4 linked regions of the Macaca mulatta genome follow. The protein of the gene in region 4 binds, or shares a complex with, the protein of the main gene of each other region. Links are inferred from orthologs where the notes say so. Each region holds a gene or a part of one and is shown on either strand. Other genes may lie near its edges. The genes, in order: STK24, STK26, STK25 and STRIP1.

Region 1 (5,471 bases), on a different chromosome or scaffold from region 4:
TCCCCTCTCCTGTGCCTGCGTCATGCAGTGGGGAATCCCTGGCCGTGGGCTGTGCCCAGCCTGCCAGTGCCTCTTCCCAGCCCTCCAGTGAGCCTGCACCTGTTGCCCTGCCCTGGAGGGTTTGTCTGAGGGCCTCTGACCTGGCAAGTTTCAGGGCCCAGTGCGAGCAGGGCTGTGGCCGGGGCCCGAGGCCTCACCTGCAGCTTCAAGTGGGAAACAGCCGAGCCCGCTGATGTCGGGGAAGGCACAGGGCACGCGGAGGCCCTGCTGGATGTCTGGCTTCAGCCCTGGCTCATGGTTCTGGGCACCTGTGTTCTTCCTACCTAGGATGTCCAGGTTGAGTGCCTGCTTGCTCTTCATTTTGTCCCATGGGAGTGGGCCCCGTGGGATTTCCAGGCTGCGCTCCTGCGGCTCTGCCGTTGGCCTCTGGAATCGGGTCAGTCAGGCAGTTAGGGAAAGTGCATGGAGTTTTTCATTTACCTGAGGCTGTTTATTTTTTTACTGGGCTCATGAAGGAACTTTGACATAAGTATTCAGGACATATCCTAAATGCGATCGTATCCTGGATTTTCCAGCTAACCAAATGCTAAACTCGCATCTTTCCCAATGTATTTTTATGAATGATATTTGCTACCCTAGAGTTCAGAGTGTTTAATGTGCATTATTTCATACAATAGTTGCAGAAGCTCAATAGAAGGATTATAGCCCCATGTTTACAGATGAGGCCATTGAGGAGACGGGCGTTGGCGTCCCTGCTTTCCTTCAGGGAGCACAGGTCAGGTTGCTCCGTGAAGTCAGTGGTGGGTCCAGTACGTTCCACACAGTGAGGGGACTGGCCCTCTCCCAGGGCAGCCCTTCTTCTGCCTTTGCTCCTTCTTTGAGACTTAGAGGCGGGACACAGGCAGGAGGGAGAGTGCTGGATGGTACATGATCCTGTTAGGACTTGTAAATACTGTGGGGGAGTCCTAGACAAACACAAGTGGCCATCTCGGGGCCGGCGGGGTGGGCCCTCTTGGACAGCAAGAGCTTCAGGAACAAATGCTCTCCGCACCCATTGGCCCTCTGAGGTCAGACTTTCCTGTTCCTGCCTGCCCCTTCAGCAGCGGAGAGAGAAGCTGTGGCTCTCAGGGCAGGGCTGGGTTTGGAAATGACAGCATGTGTTCAACAACCTGCAAACCAAGCTGAATGTCGCCTGAGATGTTTCTTACTTCCCTGAAAAGGAGGCGGTGTCCATCATCTCTGGAGCCACCACGAAGGGCCTCTTCTGTCGAGTTCTGAGCCATGCTGTATCTTGATTGAACAGCTCTTACTTTCACAGTTCACATTTCTGGGCCTTCCAGAGAGAGACTTAGTTGACCTTTAACTTAGGGAAGTGCCTGAAGGTACTGTTGTGATTTCTCTTGGGAGTAGAGGAAGGACACTGGAGATTCCCAGAATTTAAGGCTGCCACTTACATGAAATGGAATGTTTTGACACTACTGTGGATCACAAAGGCAGTTTGCTGGAGTTTAAGAACCAACCCATTAACATGAGGAAGTAAGCTTTGACGGCCCACGTGGCAGTTTCATATTGAGATTAGATTAACTTACGATAGCCTTTGAAATTGCTTTTCTGGTACAAGGTTATGGTTGAAATGGGAAAAGAGCACAGAGAGTACAGTCCATCATGGTGAGACTCGGGAGAGGCACACAGAGAGCTAGTCGTCTCTGTTCTGGCCTAGAACAGTCACGGTTATGGTCTGACGATTACCCTGTCTATACATAACTGCTCTCAGAGCATTTGAATCACCTTTCTTCAGAAGGAATCTGGGCTGGGCGCAGTGGCTCATGCCTGTAATCCCAACACTTTGAGGCCAAGGCGGGCGAATCACTTGAGGTCAGGGGTTCGAGACCAGCCTGGCCAACATGGTAAAACCCTGCCTTATTAAAAATACAAAAATTAGCTGGACGTGGTGGCAGGGGCCTGTAATCCCAGCTACTCGGGAGGCTGAGGCAGGAGAATTGCTTGAACCCAGGGGGCGGAGGTTGCTGTGAGTTGAGATCGCGCCACTGTACTCCAGGGTGGGCAACAAAGCCAGACCCCATCTCAAAAAACAAAAAAAACCCAGGGATCTGAAGTGGTCTGGATCCCGAGTCAGAGCCTTTCCCGGACACCCCGGGGCTGGGGTGGTGTCATGGTCCACGCACTGTGTTGCTCCTTGAAAAGCATGCTTCCCGGTTCTGCAGCTGGTGCACCTCACACTGTTCTTCCTGTTCGTGTGTTTTCAGTTGAAGGAGAAGAGCCAGGCATGCGGCGGGAACTTGGGGTCCATTGAAGAGCTGCGAGGGGCCATCTTCCTAGCGGAGGAGGCGTGCCCCGGCATTTCCGACACCATGGTGGCCCAGCTCGTGCAGCGGCTCCAGAGGTAACTGCCTGGGGCCCCCCTGGGCTGGGGAAGGAGAGGCCTGCACTTGGCCTGGGACTCGGTTGGTGAGTTTGGTACTTCGCTCTTGGCCTGTCTGTTCCTGTTGTCTTGCAGGCCTCAGGGTACACACAGAGTTGAATTAGAGGAGACTTTGTTGAATTCTAGAAATCAATGTGAGTGAAGGATCTGAATCTGGAAACTGCTGGAAAAGCCCGCAGGACTTTGTGCGTTTGTAGCTCTTGCCACACAAATACAGGGTGGTGGTGAAATAATCTGTTTCCTCTTAATTATGCAGCTTAATTATTGGCCAGAGAATGATCGTTCTTAGCCAGATGTGTGTAACTGTCTCTCTGGTTTTTGGCTTTAAAGTCAATGTGAGAAATGCCAGCAGCTTTGGTGTGGTCACCTCGGCGGGAGCAGGTGCACGTGTGTTCGCTGTCTTAGCTGTGTGTGTCTTGTCTGCAAGCCTCCTTGGTAGGGGCTCATCTGTGCCAGCCTGTAGGGAGCTTTTGTCCCTGCCCAGTGGCCCCACCTGTTACACACACTGTGGGTGAGGACTCGGTGGGGTGACGGCTTCGCCCTCCCTGCCCCCTCCCAGCTTGTTGTAGGAGTAACCATGGAAACCAAGCCCCTCCTACCTGCCATGGGCACAGGCGCAGGTGTTTGGAGGCAGTGGATGTGTGCTGGGCAGCTGCTCTGTGTGACCCAAGGGTGATTTGTCACTGGGCTGTCCTCCCCCACCCCGGGAGGACCAGGCGTGCTGCTGCCTTGACATTCATCTTCAGGTGTCCAGGCTGATGCCCCTACCAAAGCTGGCTGAGCCTCTGTGATGATGACGGGGATTTCCAGGTCTTCCCTGAGATGTGTCCCACCTGACAGTACATAAAGAAGTTGTGCGCGTGTGAGGTCCCTTTTGCTATCTGGGAGTGATTGAAGGGGCTGCCTACTGTCCTGTGAAGAGCCCCTCTAAGTGGGGGTGGCGGGAGAAAACCACAGCTCTGATACTTCCGGTTTATGCTTCTGAACTCGGGTTTCTTAGTATGCCATTTCAACTTTTTAAGTTGCTAGAAAATAAAAATGATTTATTGGCTGCCTTTAATTTTGAGGCAATTGAAGGATGATCCCTCCCTCCTTTGATACCCAAAACAGTATAGGAATACAGGAAAATAGAATGAAAAAGTCATCCATCTTTTGCCTGAACACAAATTTTTTGATTTCTCAAACTTAGTATCACATACCTCATGCTAGTGACATTATTTCTCATTAGAAAGAGCCTTATAATAAAGCAAATAGAACAAAACCAGAAACTCGCAGGATTGTTACTGTCTTGTTCGGCGTTTTGTTTTCTGCTTTTGTAGTATTACTTTTAGAACCAATACTTTCCACATTGTTCAGAATTGCCTGAAATTGTTATGAACTGTTTGTTTGTATACATGACTTGATTTCCCCAGGAGCTCCAGGGCAGAGCACCTGGCTTGTATGTGTTGAACTGATCCATGTTTCCCATTTCCAGACCCCTGTCTCCCTGTTCCTCTTCTTTCAGTTGTTAAGGCAAGTTGATCTGTACTAGTGCTGGCCAGTAGAAGTACAATGGGGGCCACATGCAGAATTTTACGTTTTCTGCTGGATGTGGTGGCTCACGCCTGTAATCCCAATGCTTTGGGAGGCCCAGGCAGGAGGATCGCTTGAGGCCAAGTGTTTGAGACCAGCCTGGGCAAAATAGCAAGACCCTGTCTCTACCAAAAAAAAAAAAAAAAAAATTTAGCCAGGCATGGTGACTTGTACCTGTGGTCCTAGCTACTTGGGAGGCTGAGGCTGTAGAATTTCTCAGGCCGAGGAGTTCGAGGCTACGGCTATGATCACCTCTGCACTCCAGGCTGGGCAACACAGTGAGACCCTGACTCTAAAAACCCAACAAAAAGAGAATTTTACATTTTCTCATAGCCATATTTTTAAAAAGCAAAATGAAGTGAAATTACTTTTAACAATACATTTTTAACCTGCCAGATCCAAAGTATTATTTCAACATTAATACCAACAATCATCAATAAGATATTTTACATTTTTGGGGGGACCGTCTTTGGAATTGATGTGTCCTTTACACTCAGCACATCTCCATTCACAGGCAGCACATTGCACGTGCTCACTGGGCATCGTGGCTGGGGATGACCCTCTTTAACCTCATGTGGGTCTGTAGCTACCTGATGTCTGTGTTGTGTTTAAAACTTTACTTTGCAGTGACACACAGGGGAGGCCGAGTCGGCGCTCTCTTGCCTTTGTCTGTGATGAGTGCCCCTCTTTCCTCCTCTGTCCTCAGACGACCTGCCTATTGGGGTGCTTATCGTCTCCCTGCAGGCTTGGCTGTGGCCCCCACTTCTCCCTTCCCTGCTCCTGAAGCTCCCACTGAGTGTTCACCTCTGCTGGCTGCCAAAACCACGGGGCCATGGCTTAGACTTCCTGCCAGTTTTGCTCCGAACACGTTATTTCAGTGGATGACTGTAGGAAAAATGAGAGCTGCCTCTCGTCTGAAGCATTTTCAGAGCTTACTATGTCATCATGTATGGGTCCATTTTTTAGAATTTCTATGGTACTTATTTCTGTCTCAGCTGGAATTAATGTTTGGATTCTTTTGTGTGACATCAACTCATCCTGTGATTTAGTCATTTGTACTTCTTTATAATTGAGTCTTAGGCTCCGTGGCTAACACGTGCTTTTGGGAGGACCTTATGTAACCATTCGTTCTCTGGGAGGGTGCCAAGTATTTCAGATGCCTTAAAAGAGGAGCTCTAGATGGGAACGTTTGAGATTAGCCTCGCCAAATACGTCCTCAGCCATCTCTCCCGGACCTGTGACTTGGAGTCTGCTGTAAAATGGTTGAGGGAATCGTGGTCTTGAGGGGACCCTGTCCTCACCCTTTTTTGTATTCTAGAGACAATCTTGTAGAATTTTTGGAAGACACAGAAATTACCCATGATCCCACCACCGTAGCCCAAATCTCATCATCATCTTTGGGTGCATTGCCTTCTGTTGTCATCCCAGGTTATAAACTTACTGAATTTTCTTATCT
Region 2 (5,471 bases), on a different chromosome or scaffold from region 4:
TTAAGTTCTAGGGTACATGTGCATAACGTGCAGGTTTGTTACATATGTATACTTGTGCCATGTTGGTGTGCTGTACCCATCAACTCGTCAGCACCCATCAACTCGTCATTTACATCAGGTATAACTCCCAGTGCAATCCCTCCCCCCTCCCCCCTCCCCCCTCCCCATGATAGGCCCCGGTGTGTGATGTTCCCCTTCCCGAGTCCAAGAAGGATGAGTTTGTGTCCTTTGTAGGGACATGGATGCACATGGAACCTTAAAGCAATCACAAGCCACACCACTGGAGATCCTGATTCAATAGGTGGGGAGCAGTGAGGGACAGGTATTTACATTTGGTAGGAGGTCTCAATGAAGCACACATCGAGCTGAGAACCACTCCACTACCACTCTGTAGTAAAATGTAGTATTCACCTGAAGCTGAGATCAGATCTTTTTTGTACCAGGAGTTTTTAAACATTGGGACAATTATTCCTTTAGATTCTACATACATCGATTTGATATTTTTGCCAAGCTGAATCATTTGGTCACTTATAGAGGTATCTTTGGCAATCTCTTTAGGGAATCTACCAGCAGGGAAAACAATACTCATCCTGAATGGAGCTTTACCACCGTACGAAAGAAGCCTGATCCAAAGAAAGTACAGAATGGGGCAGTATGTATATGGAGACAATTACTTACTCTTCATACAGTTTTTCAAACTATGTAGTGAGATTATAATGGCCCAAAATTGTTAGGATTGAATACCCCAAATGCCTGTCTGCCTCACTGTGTTTGTAGTATGCTTCATTTGTCATTAGTTTTGAGCTAATTAAAAAAGTTAATAGAAGTTATTTAAGTGGCCATATTGGAATTTTTTTTTTTTTTTTTTTTTTTTTTTTTTTTTGAGACGGAGTCTCGCTATGTCGCCCAGGCTGGAGTGCAGTGGCCAGATCTTGGCTCACTGTAAGCTCCGCCTCCCGGGTTTACACCATTCTCCTGCCTCAGCCTCCCGAGTAGCTGGGACTACAGGCGCCTGCCACCTCGCCTGGCTAGTTTTTTGTATTTTTTAGTAGAGACGGGGTTTCGCCATGTTAGCCAGGATGGTCTCGATCTCCTGACCTCGTGATCCGCCCGTCTCGGCCTCCCAAAGTGCTGGGATTACAGGCTTGAGCCACTGTGCCCGGCCCATATTGGTATTTTTTAAGTGCATTTCACCTAGAGATACATAAGCCCAGGGAATCATAGGTGTCTATTGTAATCCTAGAAGTTAGAGGACTTCTGGATGATGAATGGGAATGAATGACAGGAAGAAAGCTTAGAGACTTGCCTTGCATACAATATTTTGTTTTCAGTGGGGCATTCAAATTAGTTCGTATTTGTTAAAGAATAAGAAAATCATAACAATTATTTTAATTTCATGTATATAATCTGTATCATTTGTTCAAAGGAGCAAGATCTTGTGCAAACCCTGAGCTGTTTGTCTATGATAATCACACCTGCATTTGCTGAAGTAAGTACAGATTAATTGGCCTTGGATATCTGTTTGAAGTAGTATAATATTTTAAGTGTTTTAATTATTACTCTTTCTCAGCTTAAACAGCAGGACGAGAATAATGCTAGCAGGAATCAGGCAATTGAAGAACTCGAGAAAAGTATTGCTGTGGCTGAAGCCGCCTGTCCCGGCATCACAGATAAAATGGTGAAGAAGCTAATTGAAAAATTTCAAAAGTAAGTTGGAAATGTCATTTTAAAAATTATTTTGCATTTTCTGTTGTATGTTAATTTATGATGCAATGTAATTTCGTTGATTCAACCATTCCAATTATTCCTAACAAAGTCACCTTTTAATACATAGTTGTATACTTAAAAATAGTTTTTGTTTGTTGTGTATCTTAAACATTAGCTTTTGGAATTTTTAGGCATGACAAGGTAGTTTTCCACTGCATGAAATGGCCTGTTTTTCTTTCTCCACTAGTAGGAGTATGGACAAAAGGTCACTGAGCATATTCTCATTTGAGCTCTCATTAATATCATTGGGGAATGCTTTCTTTCTTGCCACTACCCTCAGAATTTAACAAAACACCACTAGTTGCATAATTTCCAGTGCTAAAGTTCCTACATTTGACCTCCATATGAAAAGTTAAGGAAAAGGTAGAGGGACTCAATCCAGACTGAAAAAGGGCTCTTATGTTCAATTTCAGTTTCTATGTTGTCTCTTGAAATATTCATTTGATTTTGTTCACATTCAAAAAAGTTCTTACATTTAATTTTTTTAAAAATTTTCAACAAGACTTTTGTATGCATGTACACACATATACACTCCTTAGCTCAAGCAAGCTATAAGGTGATACTAATTTTAGCCTTGACCTTGTTATATCTCTTCTCAGTGCATCTTTATATTTCTTTGTTTGTGATGCCACTGGGATTGAGTTGGAACAAACTCTGTGACCTGTGAAATCACACACTCTCAAAGATCTTTCTATCTGATAAGGCTCACTTGTACTCGTAAACCTAACCCCCTCTTAAAATCCCTTATATTTTAATGAAGACCTCCCATTTGAAAACAAATCAATTGGAAGTTGTGAAATCAGATACAGAAGGGATTTTTGAACTTGTTTATATTTTAACATCTACATGATGAGATTCCATAAAAACAATGTATCCCTTTTGTGGAATCAGTTTCTTCATTGCAGAGTTCATACAAAAGAGAAATATAAATATGCATAGTTGTACATTTGTTTACATTTTTAAAAAATTTTATAGGTGTTCAGCAAACGAATCCCCCTAAGAAACTTATTATTGGCTTCTGTTTCATATGGACCCAGAGAGCCCCACCAAAGCTACTTCAAGCTTAACAATGCTTAACCCATGAGCTCCAGGTGCCTTTTGGATCTTTGCAACACTGAAGATTTGGAAGAAGCTATTAAACTATTTTGTGATGGTGTTTATCATTTTATATTTTGAAAGGATTATTTTGTAAGGAGTAACTTTTAATACTATAGTTTCACCTGTATTCTAGTAAATGTTGAGACACCGTTTTGCTTTTAAGTATCCCTATTTCTTAAGTTAAGTTACTAAGATGAATACCTTTCACGTCTTGATCTTTAATTGACTACAGTCATGAAACGTACAGGTCTTTCAAAGTCATTCTCAGTATTCAGCTTTTGTAAAGTATCAAGCTTCAAAAAGTGTTGTTGTTGTTGTTGTTGTTTTTTAAACATGCGTATTCTAAAAATGACTATTGGTGGGGAGGTGTAAATAAGTCATACCTTCTTAAAACAGAAAATTTTAGTAAAGTCTTTTAAATGAAACCTGTAAAAGTATTGATTCTTCTACCAAGTTGGTATGATATTCCAGGCAGCTCAATGATTATCACATTTGAGATCCTGTGTTTGAAGCATTTACAGGCAATGTACAGCAACAGAGGTACCTCTTGGTGTATAGTATTTACATTCTCTTTTAGGTAGAAGAGGCAATTTTACCCTTATTTAACATGGTTAGAAATTTAAAGCAAGATCATTTACCCAAGGATAGGTGTTTGGTAATGTTGGAGGAGTTAGTCTGGCTTCATGTTTTACATCTTCAACTAAAATCCCATACTATCTGCTTGGATTTTGAGAGCCAAAAAAAAAAAAAAAAAAAAGCTGATTGTCATGTGATTAAATACCTGATCCATAGGTATGAATATAAGTTACACCAGCATATTTTTGCCATGGTAATGAATTGTCCTATAAACTATTTATATATTTTTGTTCTTCATAATTGTCACTAATAAGCATCAGTTTGTTGTTTTTAAAAGGATATTTAAGTGAGCATTTTCTAGTTCACATGAAAATAACCATAGTACAGGATGATTTCTGTCCACTCAAAGGTAAGTTAGATTGCACAGTTAATTTTCACTTATATTTATGGCACTATTATGTTGGTGATGCCTTTTTCTTTTAAGCCCAGTATTATGCCTGCCTAAGTTCTGAACTGGGGCTATATTTTAGTAGTTGTAGAATTATTGATATTTAGTTTTGATAGTTAATGTTTAATTGTTTGGATCTGCACAATTTGGTTTTTGCACAAAAGTCATTTTAAAAAAATCTGAGTAATTGCCAAATATTAGACGAAAGATATTCTTCCTGTAAGGAATACAGTTTTTAGTCAAAGTGGCCATTACATCCTCTTTTTACTTTACATGGTATAGATACTTGAGAAGGTTGTTCTGGTGTTGTATGCCAAGAAAATTCTTTTTATTGGTGCCTATATTGTAACAATTATTTTTAATGCATTGTATTTTGAAGTAATGGTTCAGTTAAATTTTTCACCCGCTGTGTAACTGAAACACAATTACAGTTTATAATCTGTAGAAGTCTGGAGATAATTTTGCAACTCATGTTATGGGTTAAATGAATATTTTTGTAAAAGTAAAAGCAGCAAATTTATAAATTGATTATTTGAAACTTTACAACACAATTGCATCCCAAATACAAATTGTATTGCTTATTCATTATAGCTATTCGTCCTGTAAACTGTTTCTAGGTGAAGCATACTCCAGTGTTTTGGGGTTTTGAAAATAAATATTTAAATTTCACAGTCCTCAATGTTTGTTTTCCTTGAGATGGGGGTGTGGTATGGGACTTCAGTGTTTCAAATTATTTCTCCTTTGTCCTTTATTGTTCAAACACTAAAATCGAAGTTTCTGTTGGAAACCAGAAGATACTCTTCACATTTCATTAAGCATTAATTATAGCTACAGTGAACATCTGTCCTAATTTCTAAGCCTCCTGTCTTGACCAAATTATTAATAACGTCCCCTTTCACTTGAAAGTGTCCTGGGTTGAACAATAAATTATATGGTCACCCTGATTATTATATTATTAAGAGATCATATACAGATATAAACTTAGTGAAGATTTTTAGAAATTGATATGAGAAATACCATTATCATAAAGGAGTTTAAGTTTTTCCTAGAGAAGAGGTTGAGGGTGAACTTAACATAGCATTAAGGATCTATGGTATTAATATGTATTAATATATTCATATATTAATTATATAATATTTTAATATTATACTATATTATTAAGCCCAGGTGATTGGGTTTCAATATATTCTTATTATTAGATAGTTACTCTTGACTTGTGAGTTACTAAATATGAGTCCGGGAGCAGACAAGAAAGTGCTAGGATGGAGGAAAGGAGTGGGATGAGGTATATTAAAAGGGATTTTTCTGATATAAAGACTAGGAGAATAAGGAAACTATTCCATTAGTTTTTTTTCTCCTTTAAGTTGTATATAAAAATAACTTGCCTATAGAATTGCCTCCTTTCTTTGAAGTTTGTAGTAACATTATCTTGTAAATATGTTGGACTTTAAAATCAAACAAAATAAACTTCTCAAATAGAATGCTATACCTTCTAGGAGGACCATTAGAGAAATTTTGAATGGGTCAAAAATGGAATTCTGGTTCATTAACTCACCCTGGTATTAGTACCATCCTTTTTTGT
Region 3 (6,266 bases), on a different chromosome or scaffold from region 4:
GAGGATTACTTGAGCTCAGGAATTTGAGAACAGCCTAGGCAGCATGGTGAGAACCTGTCTCTACAAAATTAGCTGGGTGTGGTGACATGCCTGCGGACCCAGCTACATGGGGAGCCGAGGTGGGAGGACTGCTTGAACCTGGGAGGTCCAGGCTGCAGTAAGCCAAAATTGCCCCACTGCACTCCAGCCTGGGTGGCAGAGTAAGACCTTATCTAAAAAAAAAAAAAAAAAAAAAAAATCACCGAAAAGAAAATTTTTATATGAAAGTTGAAAGATACAACCAAACAATAAGGCCAAGCACGGTGGCTCATGCCTGTAATCCCAGAACTTTGGGATGCTGAAGCGGGCGGATCACGAGGTCAGGAGTTTGAGACTAGCCTGACCAACATGACCAACATGGTGAAACCCCATCTCTACTGAAAATACAAAAATTAGCCAGGGGTGGTGGGGCCCTGTAATCCCAGCTACTCAGGAGGCTAAGGCAGGAGAATCACTTGAACCTGGGAGGCGGAGGTTACAGCGAGCTGAGATCACGCCACTGCACTCCGGCCTGGGTGACAGAGCGAGACTCCGTCTCCAAACAAACAAACAAAAATCCCGAAGAATAACAGAAGTATACAACAACAAAAAAGAAATGGAAAATATGAGAAACAGGAAGAAGGGCCTGGAAGGTCAATGCAGGAAAAGACATGGTGATGTTCAAGTCCAAATGGCAGCTTAGCAAGACAGCAGCCAGGAGCAAAGTATTAACAATTGGCCACAAACAGATAAAAGCTGGAAAACTCTTCTAGGCACCTTTTTTTTTTTTTTGAGATGGAGCCTTGCTCTGTTTCCCAGGTTGGAGTGCAGTGGCACGATCTTGGCTCACAGCAACCTCCAACTCCCAGGTTCAAGCGATTCTCCTGCCTCAGCCTCCCATGTAGCTGGGACTGCAGGCACGCACTACCATGCCCGGCTAATTTTTTTTAGTAGAGATGAAGTTTCACCATATTGGCTAGGCTGGCCTCGAACCCCTAACCTCAAGTGATCTGTCTGCCTCAGCCTCCCAAAGTGCTGGGATTACAGGTGTGAGCCACTGCTCCCAGCCTCTTCTAGACACTTCTGAAAAGTGCAGCAATTACTGACCACATGAAGGCCAGAGATGCAGCAGGCATCTATTTACACACATTCAATACATATATTACCTTCATATATTACACATTCATTCAACAAACTTACTGAATGCCTGTCATGGGCTGGCATGGTCCTGGGCACAGCTCTGCTTGCAGGAAGCCCACTTCCTCCTGGGGAGTCAAAGCACAAACAAAACCAAGTCAGTATGTCAACAAGCAGGGGTGATGAGATGGGGACCCAGGGGTTCAAGGGGCTGTCCTGGATGCATGACAGGGAAACATGGCTTCTTAAAGGACTTGGCAACGCACCATGAGAAAACACGCACCAGGGAGCAAAGAGAAACGCCAGAACCCTCTTGAGGAAGGAGGGGTGTGAGGTGGTCAGGATAGTCATCTGTGCTGAGCCATCATGGAAACTGAGGGCCTGTAAGGGTGGACACAGAGTGGAGGACAGACAAATCTTCCTCACCGGACAGGTGGGGATCCCTGCGGTGCACCAGGGGAATGCACACAGGGGGCACTATGACCTGGCGGCCCACGGGGCAGGGGGGTGCACCAGGTAGCCTTGGGCTCTGCAAGTCCCTCCCTGACCTTGGGGAGGTGACCCCAGTGCCACGACGGTTTCCAGCAGCAGTCACTGTCCTGGGCGGGTACCGCGCTCTAGCCCAGGTGGGTCCCACAAAGGTGTGACCAAGGATGTCCTATGATCACCCCTTTACAGGTAAGGAAACTGAGGCAGAAGATGCGAAGCTCGCGCAAGGAATGGGCTGTGCAGGTAGCTTCTCCAAGGCTTGCTGCGCCCTGGCCTGTGCGCATGATCCCGAGCGGGGTCTCGGTGCGAACAGGGGTTTCGCGGTGTGACCAGCGCCGGCTTATCTCCGAGCCGTGAGGACAAGGCCAACAGCCTGGGCGGCCGCGGTGGATCCTCGGGGCGAGGCGGGGAGGGCGCGGGGCCTTACTGGCCAGCTCGGACCAGGGCTGCGCAGGGCAGAGCCCAAGGGAAACGCCGCGCGGCCGCCGTCACGTCGGAGACGACGCCCTGCAGGCGCCAGCAGACGCAGAAGGCCAGCGAGGGCGAGGCACGGAAGACGCGACGCGACAACGACCACGTGCCCCGCCTGCCCCGCCGCGCGCCCTGCTGGGAGACGCAGTCCAAGCCTTTCGGGAGCCGAACTCGGGGTCCCAGAGAGCCTCGCGGCGCGCATGTGAGCCCCGCCCCTCTCTCGCGGCCTGCCGGGACTTGTAGTGCAACGCCAGCAGACTTCCGGGCCCGGAATGGGCGGTGGGACTCGGGGTCCCAGAGAGCCTCGCGGCGCGCATGTGAGCCCCGCCCCTCTCTCGCGGCCTGCCGGGACTTGTAGTCCAACGCCAGCAGGCTTCCGGGCCCGGAATGGGCGGTGGGACTCGGGGTCCCAGAGAGCCGTGCGCGGGCCGCGACGCCGAATACCGCCCTCGCCGTCGCCTCCTCCGGGCTTTCTCCTGTCGCTGCCGCCACCGCCGTTGCTTCGCGGGCTGGGAGGCCCGGGGTCCCCGGGCGAACAGAGGCTGCGGGTGGGAGCCTTCGCGGGCGCTGCAGAGCGGGCCGGGGGAGGCCGGGATGGAGCCCCGCGGAGGTGGGCGCGCTGCCGGGCGCGCGTTAGCGGCGATTGGGGAGGGGGCGGAGGGAGGGGCCCGGGGCGGGGCTCGGTGGCGGGGACTCCGGGGCGGGGGCACCGGGAGGAAGCTGCCTCGGAAGAGGTGGGGGCGGGGACGGGAGGGGCGGCGAGTCCCCGGGAGCCTGGGCTGTAGGCCCGGGCGTGGCGGGGCCCCGATGGCCTGGGGGTCTCCTGGGGCCCCCCTCCAGCCCGCCGCCCCGGAGCTAGGTCTCAGATGACTGAACTGGGCGCCGACCGCTCCTGCTGTCCCTCGCAGTGGACTGACGCCGCAGGGGCGAGCGAGCCGGCTCCACGCCTCTCCGCGGGATCCAGACGCCTCTCGGGGCTGTCGGCGGAGGGTCTGAGGCGGCCCGGCCATGGCTCACCTCCGGGGATTTGCCAACCAGGTGAGGAGGGTGCAGTTCAGGAAGACTAGCGGCCTCTCAGCGAGGGGCGCCAGAGCTTCCCGGGGGCTCCGAGGGGCGCCTCGCCGGAGCGGGCGGTGGGTGAGGGAAGGAGCGCGCGTCGTGCGACCAGCGGAGCCGTCCTGAGGTGGGCGCAGGGCGGCCCCCGGGCTCTGCCGTGTGCTTGTGGCGTTTTGCGTGGTAGGAGCTCGCAGACCTCTTGACACCGAGCCCCGGGTGGCTCCGCCTGTGCGAGGGCGGCGGAGGTGCGTGAAGAGACACCGGCTCCGGGACAGGACGCTGCCCCCAGCGCGGGGCGGGAACCTCGTGTCGGCATCTGAAGGCAGTGGAAGGTCAGGGGCCACACTGCGGCCTGAGCCCGGGCCACGGGTCGTTCCGGCCGTTCTGGCCGTGTTGGGCTGGGCGGGGGCCGTAGAGGAGACCCTGATGGGCGCTGAGGGGCTGGGAACGTGGAGAAGCCGATCTGAGCGGCCGGTGTGCAGGGAAAGCGGAGAACGCGTGTGTGCTTTGGCCCAGGGGAAGGTGAAAAGGCTGCTCTGTTCAGAACCGTTTAACCCCTGCTACGGGCGGTTGCCCGAACAGGAGGCTCGTCATTCCTCTTTGAAGAAGTCGGTTCCACTATGGAGCCACTTTGAAGCGTCTGGTGGGACAGCCTCGGAAGGAGCCACTACAGCGAGCCCTTAGTCTGGAATGAGGACCAGCTGCTGCTGCCACAGGGCATGCCAGGGAAGGAGGGTGGGGACAGCCAGCCTGGGACCTGGAGACTTGCACTGTGTACCTCTCCCCATTTTTTTGACTCTGGCTGCTGGGTTTTTTTACGTCTTAGCGTTCGGTTTTGCTCTCCTTGATGCCTTGGCTCTGCCTAAGGTGTTGGAATCGCCGCTAAAATGTGTGGCCCTCCTTGTTCACTCCTCTGTGCTGAATTCCTGAGAGCTGGGTGTGCAGTGGAACAGGAAGGGCGTCTGTCCGCATAGGGGCAGGAACTGGAGTCAGGGCTGCTTTGGAGGAAACTGGACCAGCCTAGAGACCCGGAATACCGTGTGCAGCTCTTGGGCCAGGCAGCCTGGACCTGCGCGGTCACAGATGGGACTGGGGCTTGCTGACTGATGCTGAATTAAGCTAACAGATTTTTGACTTTCTGTATCTGGTAACTTACATGACTAAGGTGCTGGGAGAAAAATCTGTCACCAGTTTATTTTATTTTTATTTTTTATTTTTTTGAGACAGAGTTTCACTTTTGTTGCCCAGGCTGGAGTGCAATGGCGCAATCTCAGCTCACTGCAACCTCTGCCTCCCAGGTACAAGCCATTCTCCTGTCTTGGCCTCACGAGTAGCTGGGATTACAGGCGTGTGCCATCACGCCCAGCTAATTTTGTATTTTTAGTAGAGACGGAGTTTCACCATGTTGGTCAAGCTGGTCTCAAACTCCTGACCTCAGGTGATCTGCTTGCCGTGGCCTCCCAAAGTGCTGGGATTACAGGCGTGAGCCACCGTGCCCGGCCACCAGTTTATTTTTAAGAACTGCAGAAATAGCTCCTTTGGGTCACGGGATGAGAAATTGGAGCTCTGAGGTGCCCTGTGACTGTGTGCTGTTGGTTCTTGGTGCGATCAGACCCAGGGAAGGGAGTGGGCGCGCACTGGGGAAGGGAGTGGGCGCACTGGGGAAGGGAGTGGGTGCACTGGGGAAGGGAGTGGGTGCACTGGGGAGGGAGTGTGGGCGCACTGGGGAGGGAGTGTGGGTGCACTGGGGAAGGGAGTGGGCGCACTGGGGAGGGAGTGTGGGCGCACTGGGGAAGGGAGTGTGGGCACTGGGGAAGGGAGTAGACGTACTGGGGAGGGAGTGTGGGCACTGGGGAAGGGAGTAGGCGCACTGGGGAAGGGAGTGTGGGCGCACTGGGGAAGGGAGTGGGCGCACTGGGAAGGGAGTGGGCGCACTGGGGAAGGGAGTGTGGGCGCACTGGGGAGGGAGTGTGGGTGCACTGGGGAGGGAGTGTGGGCACTGGGGAGGGAGTGTGGGCGCACTGGGGAAGGGAGTGTGGGCACTGGGGAAGGGAGTAGACGTACTGGGGAGGGAGTGTGGGCACTGGGGAAGGGAGTGTGGGCGCACTGGGGAAGGGAGTGGGCGCACTGGGGAGGGAGTGTGGGCGCACTGGGGAAGGGAGTAGGCACACTGGGGAAGGGAGTGTGGGCGCACTGGGGAGGGAGTGTGGGTGCACTGGGGAAGGGAGTGGGCGCACTGGGGAAGGGAGTGGGCGCACTGGGGGGGGAGTGTGGGCACTGGGGAAGGGAGTGTGGGTGCACTGGGGAAGGGAGTAGGCGCACTGGGGAAGGGAGTGTGGGTGCACTGGGGAGGGAGTGTGGGTGCACTGGGGAAGGGAGTGGGCGCACTGGGGAAGGGAGTGTGGGCGCACTGGGGAGGGAGTGTGGGTGCACTGGGGAAGGGAGTGGGCGCACTGGGGAGGGAGTGTGGGTGCACTGGGGAAGGGAGTGTGGGTGCACTGGGGAAGGGAGTGTGGGCACACTGGGGAAGGGAGTAGACGTACTGGGGAGGGAGTGTGGGCACTGGGGAAGGGAGTAGGCGCACTGGGGAAGGGAGTGTGGGCGCACTGGGGAAGGGAGTGGGCGCACTGGGAAGGGAGTGGGCGCACTGGGGAAGGGAGTGTGGGCGCACTGGGGAGGGAGTGTGGGCGCACTGGGGAGGGAGTGTGGGCACTGGGGAGGGAGTGTGGGCGCACTGGGGAAGGGAGTGTGGGCGCACTGGGGAAGGGAGTGTGGGCGCACTGGGGAAGGGAGTGTGGGCACTGGGGAAGGGAGTAGACGTACTGGGGAGGGAGTGTGGGCACTGGGGAAGGGAGTAGGCGCACTGGGGAAGGGAGTGTGGGCGCACTGGGGAAGGGAGTGGGCGCACTGGGGAAGGGAGTGTGGGCGCACTGGGGAAGGGAGTGGGCGCGCACTGGGGAAGGGAGTGGGCGCACTGGGAAGGGAGTGTGGGCACTGGGGAAGGGAGTAGGCACACTGGGGAAGGGAGTGTGGGCGCACTGGGGAAGGGAGTGTGGGCGCACTAAGGGAGTAGGCACACTGGGGAAGGGAGTGTG
Region 4 (4,123 bases):
CCATCAGTGTCTTAGATTTCCCTAGTGATCCTTTTTTACTTTAATTTTTTTCAAAGATGGGGCCTGTTTCAAAGATGGGGCTGTGTTGGCCCAGGCTGGAGTGTGGTCTTGGCTCACCATAACATCTGCCTCCTTAGTCTCCCGAGTAGCTGGACCACAGGCACATTCCACTGTGCCCACCTAATTGTATCTTTTTTGTAGAGACAGGGTTTCACCATGTTTCCTAGGGTGTTTTTTTGTTTCTTTTTTTTTTTTTGAGACAGAGATTCTGTCACCCAGGCTGGTTTGCACTGGCACGGTCTCAGCTCACTGCAACCTCCGCCCCCCAAGTTTAAGCAATTCTCCCCCCTCAGCCTCCCAACTAGCTGGGACTACAGCTGGACTCCACCATGTCCAGCTAATTTTTGTATTTTTTGTAGAGATGGGGTTTCACCATGTTAGCCAGGCTGGTCTCGAGTTCCTGGCCTCAAGTGATCCACCCGCCTCGGCCTCCCAAAGTGCTGGGATCACAGGCGTGAGCCACTGTGCCTATCCTTCTCAGGTGGTTCTTGAACTCCTGGGTTCAAGGGATCCACCTGCCTTGGCCTCCCAAAGTGTTGGGATTACAGGCATGAGCCACTGCGCCCGGCACCCTAGTGAATCTTTTCAACATGCAGCTTCTGTGCTGTTACCTCCCTGAGTAAAATCCTTCATTAGCTTCCTGTTTCCCTTAGAATTAGATTCAGACTCAAGCATGAGGCTCCCTCGTCCTTTTTCATTATCCTCCTCTGTAATCTGACCCAGCTTCCTTTTCAACCTCGTTACCTGCTGTCAGTCCAGCCTCCATCATACCCAGAGCTCCAGGCACAAGGAGTGCTTAGTGCCCTAACATAGCTGTGTGGTTACCACTGCTAGGCCTCTGCAGACGCTCTTCCTCCACCCGCAGGGTCTCCCCTGCCTGCCTGGGCTGCTCTGTGTGGGTGTGTTGCCACATTGTTGCGTTTCTGGAGTATACCACCATGGCTAAATGACTGTGTCTGTACTCTCAGTGCCTTGTGAATGTGTGCAGGCCCACGGTGGCACACGGTACCTGGTCAGGGAGTTGAGAGAGAATGAGCAAATGAGAGGATTTCCAGGTTCCTCCCTCTGACCCCAGAGAGCTAGGGAGGTTGCCACTTTGAGAGAAATGTGTTGTACACATGGCTCTCCCTCTCTGGGTCTACATAATCTCTACAGTATAAGCCTCTTTGTCGGTACTTCTGTCTTTTCTGCTTGTACTTGACTCTCCTTTGGATCTAGGAAGGAATTCCTAGAGCTCGGAGGTATCCTGCTCCTAGTTGACACTCAATATTCCTGGCCAGGCCCCTGAGCTGCAGTGAGTCCATGGGGAGCTGCTACAGGGCGTGGCTCCTAACTGTGTTCTTCCTGCTTTGTCTCAGATCTTGATGCCCGGCCTTGGGACTTCCAGGCAGAGGAGTGTGCCCTCCGTGCCAACATTGAACGCTTCAACGCCCGGCGCTATGACCGGGCCCACAGCAACCCCGACTTCCTGCCAGTGGACAACTGCCTGCAGAGTGTCCTGGGCCAACGGGTGGACCTCCCTGAGGACTTTCAGATGAACTATGACCTCTGGTTAGAAAGGGAGGTCTTCTCCAAGCCCATTTCCTGGGAAGAGCTGCTGCAGTAAGGCTGTTGGTTAGGGGACTGAAACAGAGAAAGGAGGATCTCAAGGTACCTGCAGGACTGTCCTAGTTCATGGCTGCAGCGCTCCCATTCCCCACCAGGTGGCAGCACAGCCCCACTGTGTCTTCTGCAGTCTGTCCTGGGTTTGGATGAGCCCAGCTTTACCTCCTATTGGTTCCCAGGGTCCAGCTCAGAAGCAGTCATCTCTGCCTGGGATCCATTCTTCCTTTATTTCTCTCACCCTCCTCTCTTGGACATGGTTGGTTTTGGCTCATTTCACAATCAGCCCAAGGCTGGGAAAGCTGGAATGGGATGGGAACCCCTCCACAGCACATCTAAATTTCAGGGGTCATGCTGATGCCTCCTGAGACACACAAATCCTTGCTTTGTCAGCTTGCAAAGGAGGAGAGTTTAGGATTAGGGCCAGGGCCAAAAAAAAATACAACGGTGTCTTGGTTGTGCTCTGGGGTGGGGGTGGGGGGTTTCTGTTGTTATTCCAGCCTCCTGCTATGTTATATGCAGAAGTAATTGCAGAGGCTCCTGCAGCTGCCTCCACACTTTGATTTTGGACAGGGACAAGGTAGGAAGAGAAGCTTCCCTTAACCAGAGGGGCCATTTTTCCTTTTGGCTTTGGAGGGCCTGTAAATACCTATATATAATTCTGTGTGTATTCTCCTGTGTCATGTTGGGGTTTTTAATGTGTTTGTGTATTCTGTTTACATTAAAAATAAGCAAAAATCATTCCCGTTGGCTTGTCTACGGGAAATATGGCCTCTACATGTCTCCTCCAGGTCTAGAAAGTGTTTTTTTCTGCTAGCATTGCTGGTCACTGCTTGTCTTGCCAAGCTGCCTGCCTTTCCCATCCTGGGGGAAGAGAAGAGGGAGTTGGCATTTATCCAGTGTAAATTAACCCCACAGTAATCTGGGATTACTCTCACCCAACTCCAGGGCACTATCAAGGTTACTTTACTGAGACATTGTCCTGCACCCCTGGGTTTGCTGTAATTTCAGTAGGAGCCCCAGGTTTCTCTGGATCACATCACTGAGCTGGCCTCAGCCAAACCAGTGTCAGTGCTAGAGAGGGAGGGGCTAGGTCAAAGCAAGGGGGTCAGCTGCTCTAGGTCCTCCCTGGGGCAGGTGGTTGGGACTGAGCGGAAACTTCAGTACTCAGAGCGTAGGAAGCAGACTATCAGGAGTCAGGTTCATGGTGGGAAACAATGTTGCCAGGAGCTAGGAGCCCCCTGTGGCTGAGAAAAAAGCAAGGAAAATCTTTGAAGTGGGTGTCAGTGGACACCTGGCGCCTACACTCTGGCCTCCAGACCCCTGGTTGCGTCTGCCTGAGAAGATATTACCGTTTTGATGCTGGTAAAAGGAGTGTTCCCTTTTTAGAATTCCTGGAAGCTCTTATTTTACCTGTACGCAGTTGTTTTATAGGTTCTTAAGTCTTGAAGGGTCTTGACTTGTAAAGGAAACATGTTCTGGGGAGAATCTCCCCTTCGTTGGGTCTTGTGTTCAGTGCCTGCCTGACCTGGGACCTGCTGAGCCTCAGACAGGCCTTTTGATGTGCCAGCATGGTTAGGGACAGCAGGGGTGGAAGGCAGCAGTGTACTCCTGGTGGTCACACAGTCTGTGAGATGGGAAGTCCCATCTGTGACTGATGGGCCCTTTGCCCCAAAGTAACTTGTACAGGACAAGGGAATTGACAGTTTATGTGTGGATGATGGATTTTCTGCTATTTCTTGCCAGGACTGGTAGGAAATATGTATCTTGAGATTTCAATTAGGGAGAGATGGATTTTTCACATTGGTACTGTCCCATGAAGCCTGAGTCACTGAACCTGCATGGTCAAGGCCTGTCTCTCCTCTGACCTGCAAAACAGAATGCAGGACTATCAAAACTGCAAGGGCCGTGAAGCCTGGGCAGGTGAATCCCTTCAGCTGTAGGCCCAGGAGCCAGCCCAGAGAGAGGAAGGGGCTTCTCACAGTCACAGAGCATGTTAGTGGCAGGTTGGCCATTTGAACTCAGGACTTTGTACAGAAATGTCTTTTGGAGCCACCCAGTTTTTGTGGCTTTTTAAATCTCATCTGGGTCATGAAGTAGGCAGAGTACATGAAGACCCTTTGTAAATGATTGAATTACATAAAATATTGTTTATTGCTAAGCAGACTCAGGGTCCACTCTTCAATCCACTGAGAGACAGACTACCCTGAGGCAGTATCACTGTAAGGATAGGAACTGTCCCTTATTAATCATAAGAGTTACCACTTATGGGTTGCCAAGTAGGTACCAGGCACAATATTAGATGCTTCTCAAAGCCTTATTTTCTACAAAGCCAGTAAATACTGAGTACTTACTATGTGCCAGCCAGCATTCTAACCACTTGATGTATAATATCTTATATATTCCTTGTAATATCTTGAAAGATACATGCCATTTTAATCCCTATTTTGCACAGGAGAAA

Evidence for each region.
Region 1: STRIP1 (region 4) and STK24 share a complex: the UniProt entries of both Homo sapiens proteins name them as parts of the core of STRIPAK complex. The link is inferred for Macaca mulatta from reciprocal best matches to the Homo sapiens genes STRIP1 and STK24.
Region 2: STRIP1 (region 4) and STK26 share a complex: the UniProt entries of both Homo sapiens proteins name them as parts of the core of STRIPAK complex. The link is inferred for Macaca mulatta from reciprocal best matches to the Homo sapiens genes STRIP1 and STK26.
Region 3: STRIP1 (region 4) and STK25 share a complex: the UniProt entries of both Homo sapiens proteins name them as parts of the core of STRIPAK complex. The link is inferred for Macaca mulatta from reciprocal best matches to the Homo sapiens genes STRIP1 and STK25.

The regions. Positions count from the first base shown.
Region 1 is NC_133422.1:93,156,500-93,161,970, reverse strand, and holds part of STK24 (serine/threonine-protein kinase 24), read left to right. Parts: intron 1-2,267; coding exon 2,268-2,404; intron 2,405-5,471. UniProt on the Homo sapiens protein: Serine/threonine-protein kinase that acts on both serine and threonine residues and promotes apoptosis in response to stress stimuli and caspase activation.
Region 2 is NC_133426.1:138,541,032-138,546,502, forward strand, and holds the end of STK26 (serine/threonine-protein kinase 26), read left to right. Parts: intron 1-558; coding exon 559-652; intron 653-1,426; coding exon 1,427-1,489; intron 1,490-1,570; coding exon 1,571-1,707; intron 1,708-2,742; coding exon 2,743-2,767; 3' UTR 2,768-4,563; downstream 4,564-5,471. UniProt on the Homo sapiens protein: Serine/threonine-protein kinase that acts as a mediator of cell growth. Modulates apoptosis. In association with STK24 negatively regulates Golgi reorientation in polarized cell migration upon RHO activation.
Region 3 is NC_133417.1:146,800,009-146,806,274, reverse strand, and holds the start of STK25 (serine/threonine-protein kinase 25), read left to right. Parts: upstream 1-2,734; intron 2,735-2,790; coding exon of another isoform or gene 2,791-3,123; coding exon 3,124-3,153; exon of another isoform or gene 3,154-3,503; intron 3,504-6,266. Other genes in the region: uncharacterized protein LOC106992798, read right to left, coding at 2,068-2,734, 2,791-3,125. UniProt on the Homo sapiens protein: Oxidant stress-activated serine/threonine kinase that may play a role in the response to environmental stress.
Region 4 is NC_133406.1:130,140,258-130,144,380, reverse strand, and holds the end of STRIP1 (striatin-interacting protein 1), read left to right. Parts: intron 1-1,418; coding exon 1,419-1,666; 3' UTR 1,667-2,403; downstream 2,404-4,123. UniProt on the Homo sapiens protein: Plays a role in the regulation of cell morphology and cytoskeletal organization. Required in the cortical actin filament dynamics and cell shape. Part of the striatin-interacting phosphatase and kinase (STRIPAK) complexes.